2 linked regions of the Lepisosteus oculatus genome follow. The protein of the gene in region 2 interacts with the protein of the main gene of each other region in a biochemical or structural test. Links are inferred from orthologs where the notes say so. Each region holds a gene or a part of one and is shown on either strand. Other genes may lie near its edges.

Region 1 (7,705 bases), on a different chromosome or scaffold from region 2:
CAATCTTGTTAGATATACCTAACACCCAACAAAATCTGCATCTCTCCTTTTGACTGTTATTACACAATACAGTACATTGTCAGGAAGCACACTAAAGGAAAAACACAAGCAACGGCCAGAGAACCTATACCAGAGGAGATTAAAAACAAATTCCGGTTAGAATTATGGGACGGGGTAAAATATTTTAAGTAACACAATACCGCAACATGTGGAAGATGTAAATAAGTGCAATTGTGATGAGCCAGAAAATCAAGAGAAGAAAGACTGAAAGAGATGGCAACAGATATTGCTCTTGGTCAAGGGAAGGGCTGAACCAATAAGAATGAACATACAGCAGTTATCACCAAAAGATTTAGTTCTCTTCTGAAACGTGACAGTGGTGTGCTGTTGGGTGAAGTTCACAGCCACCCAGCCTAGCTTCATAACATCAAAGAGACAAACGTTGCAAAAGACTGAAATCTGACTGTAACAACCTTACAATTAAACAGCACAGTACACTAATTAGCATGACTGGCTCAAATTGCCAGTCAGCACTGAGGGGTAGAAAGGGTAGTTAACCAGGGAAAGATTCGGAAAACATGATTTCGGAGCCCGATTTCGGGATTTGTTCAAACTGAGAGGGTCTACACACTTGTCTTTGGGGAACAAATGTCGTGTACTTTTAATGTTCTGCAGTGCGGAATTTCATCTCTTCCTACTACACTAATAAAAGAAGAACAGACTGTCCGCAGAACGTCCACTGGTATCCTGGGACATCTCCTCTAACAAATGGCGGAACGGAGAAAAGCAGGAGTATGCTCAACGCCCCTTAACACAAGGAAACTTCGGCAGTCATACCTCTGTTGTCTCGAAGACCCTGCTTAAGTATAAAAGTGTTCAATATCACGAGCTAGCTCAAGTATTCCAAATGTGGGAAACGACAGGAATTCTTTCTCGGGTTGTTTTTTTCCCAATCTTGAAATCCCGAAGTGCCACATCTGGGACTTCAAATGTCTTCTGCCTGAACTGAGTCTTCCTGAGGTAGAACAGGAGACCCAGGCAACAACACTGACAGGACACGTGGTAGCACAATGGCACACCTTTAGCAAAGATGCTCAAAACATGGTATAATAGCTTAACACACGTCTCATTTCAACAGCACCATTCATACAGTATGTGGATAAGAATTTATGACACGTCTGCAGATTCATGTCTATCGAGGATTGTAGTCTGAATCTGAATTGGAGCAGACACACAAAAGCTGCAGAATTCTAGCTTCTTTTTAACTTTTCATTCTCAGTCCTGTACAATCATGACCTCGAGACTCAATAATACTGCATCATTTACACTGCATTTACTGCAGCAACTTCAATCAAGTACCTTTGCTCAAAGATACAACAGCATCCTTCCAGTCTTGAACCCAGAGCCCAGACCACTGCTCTGCATCGCTGCCTTATTAAACTTATTAATTGCTTAAGGATTCATTTTAGATTCTTACCGAGCAGGTTGAGGTGGAATCACTGACGTACAGTTTTACCTCGAGTCTAAAGAAATGCACTACCTTGCGGTGGCTCAGCTTTCATTTAGCTTTATTACAGAAGTACATTCAATCATAAAGCAAGACACTTTTAAAATGTCTATGATTTGTAGAATGGTGACTCTCAGATGCACCATAACTGAGGCGACAATGTTTCAGGCTGTAAAACAAATTATTCTCCAAACAGTGGCTGCTGACTTCAGACAATAAAAGATGGATATTGGATAGCTGGATTTCGATTCATAAGAAGATATTTTTTTACATGATACGGAAGCATATTCTGACATTGAAGTCTCAAAGCTCTTCTCTCCCTAACAAAAGGAGGACGCAAATCTTTATACGCACTGAAACAGCGGAGAAATAACCGGCGGTAATAAAACGGTAGTACGAAAAGGTTCAGGCTGATTAATAACGTGTTCAGGGTAGCACAATGATGCTGAGTGCCTGATCCGTACAGTGAGACAGGCCCCTTCTCTGTGCTCTACTTTCAATACGTCTGTATGCACTCAACACACATGGCGTTGTCGGCAGAGCTGCAGTTCAAAATGTGTGAATGAGAAAGGGATGACACCTCTGCAACAGCTGTTACAGTCTTTACGATCGTGCTTTCTCAACATTCAAACCCAATATCGATGAGCTTCGTAAAAAATCCCCGATAACCACAATAAAGGAACCAGCTTCTGTGTTTAGCTAAGGAAGCCGCTTCGCGATCGCTGGATTCGTCCGCTTTGTTACATAACTTTGTGGCAGTGAGGATGTGGGTTTGTCCAGAACCGGATCAGGATTGGAGATCACGATCGGGTAGTTAACTGGGACAGAAATGGAGCTCCCGTCTTAATGACAGCCACATTTTGAGTTCTGGTGCAGGACCACGCTCCCCTTTCACGCCAACCTGAATTTCTACAAAGTGATCCAGGACATCTTTTTTTCCCCCGAAACCGAGAGAGGAAGCATGTCACTTTGGCTTAGTTTACAAAATCCACTACCCCCGTCACACTGGAATTTTTATTTTTTTTAAAAAACCACTATACCGTATAAGCGAAAAGGCTTTCACAAACACAGGGAAGTCCAATCCCACTGACTGGGCTCTTATTTTTAATTTTACTCCCTGCACTCGGCCTAACCTCCTTCCTGATCCCCGGTATTTCCTGAACCCCTCCCCGGCCGTCTCCGTCAGCCCTAGGAGCTGCCCCCTCTGGACGGCCCCGGTCGGGATGACATTAACTTCCCCTTCCCGGGGCCTCGGTAGCCCTTTTTCAACTGTTAAATTACTCTCTATTTTTTTCTTATCTGAGTGTCGTGTACGTGGCTCAAGCGTTCAGAGAAGCAAGAATGGCTAACCTCTTCGCTTTTAAGGACCTCTTTGAACTCTCGTTTGATCCTCTGCACTGCGATGTTGGCCATGGCTTTGCCGTCTCCTCTCTGTCGCTGTTTGCTGATACAGGCCTACAGCTGCAGCGTCGCTCTGCTCCTCTTTTTTTTTTACAACAAAAACAGACACCCCCCCCCCCTACCCGCACACAAATGGCGATCCGCGGAGTCTGCGCACTGTGCCAAAAGAACAATATGTTACAAACTGGAATAAAACAACTTCCTTCAGGGATATGCTAGGTATTCTGAGATGTAATATGTGTCATGTTTTTACGGATTCCGAGGAGAGGAGCTCTGCTTAATGGCGTTTTCCCATTCCGGGGCTACACAGTCAAAGCTAGGCGTTTTATTATAATAATGTCACTACTCAACTGAAATAGGTGCTGGAGCATAACCTGCTTAGCTTATTTTTGTAATCGATTTGTTTTTTTCCTTCCAGGTGTGATGTTCGAGATAGGGCCCATCTTTTGCACATATTTAATTTTGTGCTTTTTATATTTGTATTTTATTTACATTTTATCTACGTTTCCACCCACTACATACACGAACATGAAATTCAGTGAACGATATTTTTGCCGAATGATTAACCGAGTGTGTGGCAATATGTACTACAAACGGAGGAACGCGGGACCATTTTAGTTGTAAAAAAGTGCTGTACGAAATGTTAATGTGACAAGTACAGAGGGGCCTATGAAAAGTCTCATTTGAAAGATTTCGATCTTTACAGCACCTTGCCCTCTCATCTAATAGGGAAGAGTGCCACCTACTGATGTACCAAAACAAGTTCTGTCAGCCATCTAATTTTCCTTTTACTGACGAGGCCAAGTCTTGCTTAGCTTCTGACATGTGACAAGATCCAGTTTTAAAGTGTCATAAAGCAAAAACATAATCAATGTGACTCATATTTGTCAGAACCGTGGTTCAATTAAGTACCTAAGAAGAGTTCCAATACTATAACTGAATAACGTTTATGACTGGATAAAAAAAAAACAGAAATACTGCTAACTACCTCAGACTTAATTCATGTCTCATTAGGTCTACATAGAACAATTCTAGATTGCTGTTTTTACCACTCCGAATAACCACTCCAAACTACTCCCCAAAACATCTCTCTGAAATCTAGGCCTCCAGGAAGTAACAATGGGCTAGAGATTAGTGGTGCAGCATATTCAGCAGTCCATCAGTGAAGCACTGACCTTTTGACCTTGTGCAGTACTGATACACAACACAAAATGGATAACAAAGAGTACAGCAGGGCAAGTAAGAGAGAACCACCGAGAAGACAGTTGCCAATAATACAACCCCGAGCGCCATATTTATTTATTGTATCCTGAAAATTTCATATGAGCATACAGAATGTGACAGAATAGCCCTGAAGTTCAAACCCTTTAACAATGCTACACAAGTACGGCCCAATCCAAAGTTAATCACAGAGGAATCCAGAATAGTCTCCACGCTGCACACAAGATATGATTCACAAAAGCGACATGCAAACAATGATCATTATTTAACAATGTTACAGAAAAAGCTAACATCTTTCTGTTTTGTTCCTAAGGTTTTGTGTGAGAGCTTCGCTTTGGATGCTGACATTCCCTGTCAGAGCCCGAATTATTACACTTAATAAAGAGTATGTCTGGTCAGATGGCAATGATATCATTTGAGTGCTGCATTGGACCCACACTAAACTCCTTTGATTGAATGTAAAGTTGAAAAGATCATGATTACGAGGAGGAGGCCCAAGAATATGTCCACAGGGGCTTTGGGGAGACCCCAAAAGTTCCGCTCTTTAGATTGTTTCTGTTACTCACGAAAAAAAGGATTTGCTGTTGTGTCTCCTTAACGGCTCAAAAAAAAAAAAACACGGAAGAGCAATTCCTTTGAGAATTATTTTGGAATTTAAAAGTTTAAATTCCAGAATCAAAATCAGCTTTTTTTTTAAACATAGAGTCGGGGAAACTAGTCTCCTATGCAAAGCCGGCACTTATTTGCATGTGTGGGTCTATGCAGGTCATGTTTTAAGCGAAAGCTGCAGTCTGAACTGCAGGCATACTTCCTCATTGCAGAAGAAAAAGGCTTGTTAACGATCTCATGGTTATCTCACAGAAGCCAAGTCAGCAGTAATGCCTCCATATTTACATGTACATTATAGCTCCATACTAAATGTGAAAAGAACAAATGTTGATTTCTCACAACACCATCTTGGCCCCTGAATTCACCTTGCTTCATCTGAGTCAACTCTGTAATATTCACAAAGAATTTCAAAGTACACCTTGAAAACCCAAACTTTGACAAAGTGACTCGTTTGGAAAGTGGCTCGAGTCCATATACACCTGTTTTTGTGTTTTATATTATTTTCTCTTTAAAACAGTTACTACCATTTAAGTCCCTGTTGCTTAGTCTGTATTTTAAAAACCAGATTGCAGCTTAGGAAAGTTGCATCACCCCTGTTTAGACAATACAATGGGCATCAAATTTTTCTACTTCAAATTAACTTATACATACATACATATACTTATATACAGCTGTTGCACCTGTGGTGAGAGTGAAACCATCCACCTAACAGCTCTGGAGTTTCAGCTGTAAATACTATACTCTTATTTTGTTAATGTCACATTCAAATAACTTTATTGGTGTGACTTTTGAAATGCCCTGCTGCCAAGCAATATCAATTAGTAAACATTAACACACATTCCGGACAATGATATAATATTGTATTGAAACTTTCTCTTAGTTCCTCAGACTGTGACAGGAGATTACATATTGGGATACCAGCTCTATTGAATTTCATCCCCCCCTTCCCTAGTTGTTTAGGGTGAATGGAGATGTGCATGCAAGTTCATTCGGTGAGGAAGCACAGAAAATAACATGCCATACTTTTCTCTGGAATGACAGGTCAGGAAAACCAAAAATTATGGAAAAAGCAAGTCAAGTGGAGAAAAAGAGCTTAAATAAAAAATGTCCCTCAGGGGAATAATAATAAATAAAAATCTTATCTTAAACCTACATAAATGGCTGACTCTGTGCTCTGACCCCAAGCTTCTCTCCCTGTCTGTGTGTCGCATGAAGAGGTACAGTATGTTCAAGCTGAGGTATGTGAAAAGACAAATTCATAATATAAGAAAATGTATTTGGCCATCAAAGTGATCTCTTATGTCACAGCTGGCTGGGACACGGCCCTGAGCAGAACTTGCAACAACTTGAAGATCATGGAGAAGCCCAGCCAAAAACAAGACTTTAAACACTAGGACAATGCTGGCAAGAGAAAAAGTGTTCCTTTTCACTGTCCAACCTTCTTCTCTTTGACTAATAAGCCCGAAGGGGCTATGGACCTGTGCCACACCAGCTTCTCAATTGTATGTGACCTGCAATAAATAATAAAAAGGCTGCATGAGCTAAAATCCTGCAAAAGAATGGCTTGATGGATCTTATTTTATTATCCCCGCAGAGGTGACTCACAGAGGTCTTGACCAATGAAAGATCGCTGCATTAAACTTATGTTTTTTATTCAGATTTCCCAAATTATCCACTTTGTTTTTATTTTGCTTTTCAGTGTCATACATTCATACGTCTTCCTGTCTTCTCTCTATTTATAATAATAATAATAATAATAATAATAATAATTGCTTAAACTTATATAGTGTTTTTCTGGACACTCCACTCAAAGCGCTTTACAGGTAATGGGGATCCCCTCCACCACCACCAATGTGCAACATCCACCTGGATGATGCGACGGCAGCCATAGTGCGCCAGAACGCTCACCACACACCAGCTATCAGTGGGGAGGAGAGCCGAGTAATGAAGCCAATTCACAGAGGGGGATTATTACGAGGCCATGATTGGTAAGGGCCAATGGGAAATTTGGCCAGGACGCCGGGGTTACATCCCTACTCTTTTCGAGAAACGCTCTGGGATTTTTAATGACCACAGAGAGTCAGGACCTCGGTTTTACGTCTCATCCGGAGGATGTACAGACGCTACTGTACTTTTAAAATGGTTGCCTGAGAACCCTCTGGTCATGAGGAATTTTAAGTAATCCAGATTGAAAACTCCAGCCAATAATTAATTTGCAAGGTCTCAGTCAGATTTTAACTAAATACCTCCGGGGGGGGCGGGGGGTCGCTACGACTACTGTCTCTGTTCCTCTGTCCTCATTTTCGTTTGTCAAAATTTAAAAACAAAAGCACCTGCTCAGAAAGGTGTTTCCTCACAAGTATGCAAAGCAATTCCGGAAAGATGAAGCATGTGACAATGTCTTCTGTCAAGTTCATCGTCATACTTGGAACAATTTGAAAAAAAAAACACAATGAATGAAGCTTTGTTAGAATTTCGATATTAAGTGATTGGTAAGCGTCATTACCATATTCTTCATAATAACACGCTACAAGAAAATGTAAAAAGGATTGATCACAAAGTAGCAGTACTGGTACTGCAGGTCTCAGTGGCCCAATACGTGCCGATCCGCAATGCTCTGTAATAATTCAGCCTCCGCGATTTTTCTTTACACGTTTCGTCCTCGTATCAGCAAGACACGTAAAAGAACTTAACTGTTACGTGTGGGTTTTTTTTAAAAAAATTCCACCTTTTTAAGATACTTTATTTGAATAAAAGCACCCTGTGAGAAGGAGAGCAAATATTTGCATCCCTCAGCGCCACCCAAGCCTCCAGCGCCTGCACATCTGTATCTGTAGGACCAACGGATCTTTAATCTACGCATCAGCGGCTATGCTCAGCGTTACGAGGCCGTGCGAGACGCCACTTGCAGGTCAACAGACAGCTAAAAATACGCAGACCGGACGCTTGGGTTACTGTCGGGGCTTT
Region 2 (8,012 bases):
GTGTTGGGAGGTGACACCTCCTGCAGCGACAGTGCAGGCAAGTGCAGAGAGTTGTGCTCGGCAGGTACAGCAGTGATGACCTCAGCGAAGGGACGAGTCACCCAGACAAGGAGCACAGAGCCGGGAGGAGACCCTTCTGGTCACCAGCAGTGATGGATAAAGACAGTAGAGCTCCCCTCTCCACAGCTGATGGAAAACTGAAAAAAGTGTCCTGCTTCATCCCTGCTCTCCAACACATCTAATGGGGTCTCCATGTGTTTGTGAAGGGAAACATACTTGGGATACATAATGGGTCTGCATTGTGTATCAGTATCTCTTCCTTTTGGTCTTGAAAGACAGAGAGAGCCCTGGAGCATTTTTGAAAACTCAGAGATGTTGACTGGAGAATCTGTAGACAGGGGGTACATCTGCACACACACAGACACACGAACACTCACAGACAGAGAGACAGACACACGAGCAATCACACACAGACACACGGACACTCACACACAAAGACAGTCACACGAACACTCACAGTCACACAGACACATGAAAACACACACACAGATACACAAACACTCACAGACACAACAGACAAACAAACACACAAACACTCACACGCAGATATTCTTGCACATGCATTCAAAGCTGGGGAGCCACACAGGAATCTCAAGCACATGTTCCTTCTCTTTGAAGACCAATGAGGTTCATCGCATCCATTATGTCCGCAGAGTGGCCAGTCACCCGAGCAGGGCATCGGCGCCACGGTCCAGCCCAGCCCAGCCTCCCGCAGTCTGGAGCTCCACGCTGATTACCTGCTTGATCACTGGAGTGACTCTGGGCCAATGGAGGCTGAGCTGCTCTCTGACCATGAGCCGTGTCTCTACGGCCACAGTCAGAGGTCCCATACTAACAGTGCCGGGAGCTGCCAGTTCAGCACGTTGTCACTCCAGCCAGCAGTGGGGGCACTGAGAGAAAAGTGTTCCCCTGATCAGACAGTCTCTTTGGCCCCTCCGCTCTGCAGAGAGCAGCTGGGCCATGCCTGCCCAGAGGAGGGTGTGGGCGGGTGGCCGGTGTCACCTGGCGCAGGCTGGTGTCCTGGCCAGATGTGGTCACAGCTGCACTCCTCTGCAGGGCAGGAGAAGGTCTGGACGAATCCTCTTATGGTGGAGCAGCTTCAGCTTTGCTGTTCAGGTGGTTTCTTTGCAGCTTCCTTGTCTCTGCCCATCGAAGTCCAACACTGTATGACATTGTGCCTTAACGTCATTTAGAAAAGTAGGAGATCACCCTTTAACCACAACATGCTCAGTCTTAGTAATGTTCACCTACTAACACGTGTCGGATTTGTCAGGACCTGTCTTCCTGCTCCATCTGGTTAATGAATTGCAATGCTGGCCAGTACTTTAGGACCAGACTACTGTGTCCGACCAGTACGTGTCTGTATAGACGTCCGGGTCAACTGGACCTCCTGCTCAGAACTGGCCGGCACTGACAGCCTGAAATCCAGCTGAGCTCTGCAGGGGCCCTGGCCACAAAGCGAGCAATTGTGTCCTCCTGGACATGCTCGTTTCAAGCAATTAATCTGGGGATTGAGCAGCTGAAATGTATTCTGAGGAGGTCGTTAAGACAATGGCTGTGGCTTTTAAGCCAGGCTGTTCTGGGGCCTCAGCTGGCTGTCCCCAGGCGGCGAGGTGGTCCTGTAACCTGCCTGTTGTCCCCACAGAAGGCCATCCGAGTGACCACCTTCATGCAGCGCCTGCGCGCCCCCGAGGCCGGCAGCGGGGGCGAGGGGGGGGCGCGCCTGGCCGTCACCCCCCGCACGTCCATGAGTGTTTCCCACAAGGTGACGGTGGAGAGCCGGCCGGAGCAGGCCGGGATTCCCAGCAGCCTGTCGGTGGGGGTCTCCCCGACCTCCACCACGGACCCCCTTCCTGCAGGCGATCTTGGGCTGCAGCCAGAGGGGGGGGCGGCCAGCGACAGCGCGGGGACGACGGCGGCCAGCCTGGGGCCGGACAAGCCCAGAGCGCCCCCCGACAAGCCCCCCCCTTCGCCCCGCGTCGAGACCAGGAGGGTCCCAGACCGCGGCACCAAGGTGATCGTACTGGAGCACCCGGCCAGCCCCGGGGAGACGAGGTCGGGGTGCCCCCCGGACACCCCCAACAGGCGCAAGATGGCAGCTGTCCTGCACCGCTCTGCGGACGACACCGCCTCCCCGGCGGACCCGGAGACGAGGGCCGGGGGGCCGGCAGCGCGCCGGGGGGCCGCGGGGGGAGGGGCCGGGGACACGCCCGGGCTCCGGCCGGAGAAGGGGGACCGGGGCGCCGGCGGGGGTGGGAGGAGAGCCGGCGCGGCGGAGAGCTGGTGCCAGACACAGCTGCCCGAGGCCGTGGCGGAGAGGAGGGGCGCAAGGGAGCCCCAGGACGGGAGCCCCGGACGCAGGGACCCCGGCGCGGCCAGGGGCTCCCCGGGCGCGGCGCACCGCAAGACCGTGCCCGTCCAGGGGCAGCGCGAGGCCGCCGGCGACTGGCACATGGACAGCGTGATCGAGCAGATCGAGAAGCAGATGGCCGCAGTGCTGGAGAAGATCGAGGGCGACATGCCTTCCCTGCTGGAGCAAATCAGCGACCGGCCCTCCCCAGCGCGCGCCCCCCTGGCCCCCGCCACGCGCCCCAGCCTGCCCCCCTTCCCCCACCTCACCATCCCGCCCTGCACAGCCCCCCCGCCCCCCCCGCCGGAGCCGGAGCCAGGAGAGCAGCCGGAGGGTGAGGCCGGACCCGGCCAGTCGCAGAGAGGCTTGTGATCCAGCACACAGGGAAGCACTCTGGGAAATGCCACTCATGGCGATATACGGATACACTATTTTTCTTCTCTGTCTCCTGTTTTGTGTTTGCCCTTCTGAAGGTGTTCCTGCCCCTCCCTGTGCCTCTCCCGCCCGGCGGCCCAGCATGCCCCTCTGCGCTCCGCTGTGTTCTCTCCCACCCCAGCGGCACACCTGTTCTCTGACAATTTTTTGCATCTGTCAGCAGTTCTTTCAATAAAACTCTCAAGCAAAGCGCTGTGACAGTCTTCCCTTCCTGTCTGTGTGCGTGTCTGCGTCGCTGTCCGCCGGCCAGATGAATCCCGCTGGCCAGCGCAGGTCAGTCTCCGGGCTGGAGCTGCTCACCTCTGACCCCACGCACCCCGGTTTCTGTCCCAGTGGACACCCAGCTCCAGGCTCAGGCTCTGCCCCAGCCTGTCCCATTTCCCTGTGTGGACAGAGGAGAGACCGGGGGCCTGTCAGTCAGCTGAAAGGGCGGGTCCCTCAGCACTCAGGCAGGTGGGACTCGGGGTGCCAGCAGTGACTAGGCCGACAGCAGTCTCGTGAAGGACAGGTGAGGAAGCACCTCTTGTGCAGAGTACTGACGCCACAGAAGTCCGATCGCACACACTCGCTGATCCCGATACAGTAAAGGCAGAGGAAAACACACGCTGGATTATTTACAGTAACGCCTGGCTATGCACTTTCCTGCACAGCCAGTGTGGGACACTCCGTTCAGACTAAAGAGACTCAGTTCCTGTAGCCTGTCAGTGTGGGACACTCAGCAGACTAAAGAAACTCAGTCCCTCCAGCCTCTCAGTGTGGGACAATCCCTTCAGACTAAAGAGACTCAGTCCCTCCAGCCTGTCAGTGTGGGACAGTCCCTTCAGACTAAAGAGACTCAGTCCCTCCAGCCTGTCAGAGTAGGACACTTACTTCAGACTAAAGAGACTCTGTTCCTGCAGCCTCTCAGCAGCCATATCACCCTGCAGCTCAGAACTGGGAGCCTACTGGAGCCCAGCAGGTGTGAGCCTGGTCAGTATCTGGATGGGAGATCTCCTGGGAAAAACTAAGGTTGCTGCTGGAAGAGGTGTTAGTGGGGCCAGCAGGGGGCGCTCACCCTGTGGTCAGTGTGGGCCCTAATGCTCCACTATAGTCATGGGGACACTATACTGTAAAAAGGCCATCTCTGAACTGGCTTCACCACTCTGCTCTGCTCATCACCGATAGCTGGTGTGTGGGGAACGTACTGGTGCACTCTGGCTGCTGTCACATCATCCAGGTGGGGGTGGAGGGGATCCCCATTACCTGTAAAGCGCTTTGAGTTGAGTGTCCAGAGATGTGCTATGTAAGTGTGATGAAGCCAGTTCAGAAATGGGGATTATTAGAAGGCCATGATTGGTGAGGGCCAATGGGAAATTAGTCCAGGACACCAGGGTAACACCCCTACTCTTTTTGAGAAACACTTGGGATTTTTAATGACCACAGAGAGTTAGGACCTCAGTTTTATGTCTTATCTGAAGAATGGCACCTTTTTATAGTATAGTGTCCCCATCACTATACTGGGGCATTAGGACCCACTCAGACCGCAGGGTGAGCGCCCCCTGCTGGCCCCACTAACACATCTTCCAGCAGCAGGAGTTTGTCCCAGGAGGTCTCCCATCCAGGTACTGACCTGCTGGGCTCCAGTGGGCTCCCAGGTGTGAGTTGCTGGGTGACATAGCTGCACACTCATGCAACTAATTTGCGCTATTAGCCAAGGTGCGCGGGAGCTCGTGTCTGAGGCGGTTCGCGTGTGCTGGCCGGCAGGACCGCGTGCCTCCGCCTGGACCCTCCACGATGACATTCTGAAACCGTTACCTCACATTTCAAATCTGCGCTTCAACATGACCGTCGGCACCAACAGACCGGCTCGCCACCGGGCAGCAGAGCCGGACTACAACTCCCAGCAGCCTGCGCGGCAGCGCTCGGACCGGGAGGACCCAAGCCATGCGAACAGAAGGGGGGGCGAGAGTCCTAGTTGTGTAAATAATTTTAGAGCTCCCACCAGTATTATGGAGAAATACACAGAAAGTCACTAAACTTTAAGACTGTGTTAAAGTCTTTGATTCCGTACAATGTGAGTCTTGTACGCCGTCGTGCGTAAATGTATTTTTCTCTGTTTCTCCCCCATCTCAAGATGGTGGCGCGGCCCCCCGTCGGAGCCCCTCTGTCCGCACATGTTGCTTTATTCTCGCTGCGCTGCTGGGAACCGGCGAGCCGCCTGTCTCTTCCCGTGTGAGAAGCCACCGAGCTCCCGCCTTCGCCGTCAGCTCCCACGGGGGGTTCTCTCTGTCTGCTCGCCCTTTCGATTTTAAACACCGAGGAGCAGGTCTTAGCAAGATCGGATGTGGTGAGTGCGACGCCTGCTCGCGTTGGACCCCGGGCCGGGGGCCGGGAAGACAAAGCTGAACCGTGCTGGCAGGTTTGGGGGCGAGGGGGGATGGGGAGCGCGGGGAGTGAGGGCGAAGGGCTGAGGGTGTTATTTATGCACTGGGTGTTCCTGCCCGACCCGGTGCTGCCTGCTGCCGGAGCCGAGGATGGAGCTCAAGTTGCTGCCCAAGTTTCGGAGCTGCTCGCCACCCCGGCGCCCGGCCACCTGTGCGGCGGGCAGTGTCCGGGCCGAGGGGGCCGGGGCAGGGGCCGGGGAGGGAGCCGGCGTCCCAGCCGGGGCCGGGCGAGCCCCAGGCCGCAGGGAGAGGGGTCCGAGCCGGGGGGAGGCGCCCGGCTGGGCCTTTCATTGTTGTGTAGCGGTTCCCGGTCTGCACGGCGGATCTGAGCGCCAGCCCGCAGACTTGCAGCCCACGTCTGCTTTGTTTGTGCTGCCCGAGGTCGCGGTCCCTGCTCCACGGGTGCAGTGTTTTCCCGGGTGGCTGGGCTCCCCACGAGTGGACGTGGGCTGTCATGACGTGCCTCTCGCTACGGGTTCTCGTGCAGGAGGGGCGACGCAGCTCCCTGCTCAAGTGCGTCAACATACTCTTTTCCCTTCATCCTCTCTAAACACACTGTACCTCAGCTCTAACCACTAGCCCACACTGCCTCCCTCTCTCTCCCCCAGTGCCTCAGCTCTAACCACTAGCCCACACTGCCTCCCTCTCTCTCTCTCAGTGCCTCAGCTCTAACCACTAGCCCACACTGCCTCCCTCTCTCTCTCTCTCTCCCAGTGCCTCAGCTCTAACCACTAGCCCACACTGCCTCTCTCCCTCCCAGTGCTTCGGCTCTAACCACTAGCCCACACTGCCTCCCTCTCTCTCTCCCAGTGCCTCGGCTCTAACCACTAGCCCACACTGCCTCCCTCTCTCTCCCCCAGTGCCTCGGCTCTAACCACTAGCCCACACTGCCTCCCTCTGTCTCTCTTTCCCCCAGTGCCTCAGCTCTAACCACTAGCCCACACTGCCTCCCTCTCTCTGTCCCAGTGCCTCGGCTCTAACCACTAGCCCACACTGCCTCCCTCTCTCTGTCCCAGTGCCTCAGCTCTAACCACTAGCCCACACTGCCTCCCTCTCTCTCTCTCCCAGTGCCTCAGCTCTAACCACTAGCCCACACTGCCTCCCTCTCTCTCTCTCCCAGTGCCTCAGCTCTAACCACTAGCACACACTGCCTCTCTCTCTCTCTGTCCCAGTCCCTCAGCTCTAACCACTAGCCCACACTGCCTCTCTCTCTCTCTGTCCCAGTCCCTCAGCTCTAACCACTAGCCCACACTGCCTCCCTCTCTCTCTCTCCCAGTGCCTCAGCTCTAACCACTAGCCCACACTGCCTCCCTCTCTCTCTCTCCCAGTGCCTCAGCTCTAGCCACTAGCTCACACTGCCTCCCTCTCTCTCTCCCAATCCCTCAGCTCTATCCACTAGCCCACACTGCCTCCCTCCCCAAGGCCTCAGCCCTCACCAGTGGGACGTGTTCAGAGTGGGTTGGACAGAGCTTTTGGACATCAGCCTGTGGCCGTGATTGTGGGCAGCAAGACAGAACCTGATCAGTGAATTTGATTGTTTGTGTACGGCGAGTGACATGCAGCTCAGTCCCTGGTGTAGTTGAATAGCAGTGCAGTTAGGAGGACCAGGTCTGTCAGGGTTACAGTCGCTGGTCCTGGTGTTTGTGTTCTGTGGGCTCTGCTGCTGGCTGTCTTGACCTGCTGATGAACAGAAACAGCACGCCGAGTCCAGGAGAGGGGCAGTGGTATGAGAGCAGCCCGGTCCGGGGCTCGCTGGCTCCACCGAGCCGGTTCTACATGACTGTTTCAGGGCCCCAGGGGGAGCGAGATGATGATGATGATGATGTTGGGGTTGAGGAAGGGTGTCACCCTGTGATTGATGACTGTGTTGTTGATGACCATATCTGTGGTTACTCAGTGGAGTTCTGGGTCACACTGTTTCTGGCTAAAGACTGTGGACGGTATATTTACACCGACACGCTTGGGACATCTTGCCAAACTGCTGGAGAGTGCCTTCTCCTACGGTAATGGACTTGGAACCATTTATTAATGAGATGGGCCAGGTGGGCCTGGTCGCTTACTGAGTGAAGAGACGGCCCTGAGGATCCCAGCGGAGCTCCTGGCTGGGCTTCATCCCAACTGGCAACATAAGGCATCCAGCAGCCTGACAACTCCCCTGCGGGCTCTGGGGGGTGAGTCTCCAGGGGTGTCCAGTCCAGGTCCTGAGGGGCCGGTCAGTGTGCCTGCTCCAGGGGTGTCCAGTCCTGGTCCTGGGGGGCCGGTCAGTGTGTCTGCAGGTCCCTTTAAAGAGCAGCTGGGAGAATCTGTCACATTGGTCCAGTAGGTCTAGTAACCAGCTGGCTTGGAATGAGAACCGACCCCACCAGGACCGGACTGGCCACACTGCTGAGACACTGACCCCACCAGGACCGGACTGGCCACACTGCTGACACACTGACCCCACCAGGACCGGACTGGCCACACTGCTGACACACTGACCCCACCAGGACCGGACTGGCCACACTGCTGAGACACTGACCCCACCAGGACCGGACTGGCCACACTGCTGAGACACTGACCCCACCAGGACCGGACTGGCCACACTGCTGACACTGACCCCACCAGGACCGGACTGGCCACACTGCTGACACTGACCCCACCAGGACCGGACTGGCCACACTGCTGAGACACTGACCCCACCAGGACCGGACTGGCCACACTGCTGACACACTGACCCCACCAGGACCGGACTGGCCACACTGCTG

The links. The genes of interacting proteins can lie anywhere in the genome.
Region 1: of the proteins of uba1 (region 2) and ube2kb, one has a biochemical effect on the other in vitro, tested with the Homo sapiens proteins (9 studies listed by BioGRID, with this or other methods). The link is inferred for Lepisosteus oculatus from reciprocal best matches to the Homo sapiens genes UBA1 and UBE2K.

Annotation. Positions count from the first base shown.
Region 1 is NC_090696.1:68,331,659-68,339,363, forward strand, and holds the start of ube2kb (ubiquitin-conjugating enzyme E2Kb (UBC1 homolog, yeast)), read right to left. Parts: upstream 3,016-7,705; 5' UTR 2,921-3,015; coding exon 2,858-2,920; intron 1-2,857. UniProt on the Homo sapiens protein: Accepts ubiquitin from the E1 complex and catalyzes its covalent attachment to other proteins. In vitro, in the presence or in the absence of BRCA1-BARD1 E3 ubiquitin-protein ligase complex, catalyzes the synthesis of 'Lys-48'-linked polyubiquitin chains.
Region 2 is NC_090697.1:77,869,635-77,877,646, forward strand, and holds the start of uba1 (ubiquitin-like modifier-activating enzyme 1), read left to right. Parts: upstream 1-5,001; 5' UTR 5,002-5,171; intron 5,172-8,012. Other genes in the region: camkvl (caM kinase-like vesicle-associated, like), read left to right, coding at 1,706-2,782. UniProt on the Homo sapiens protein: Catalyzes the first step in ubiquitin conjugation to mark cellular proteins for degradation through the ubiquitin-proteasome system.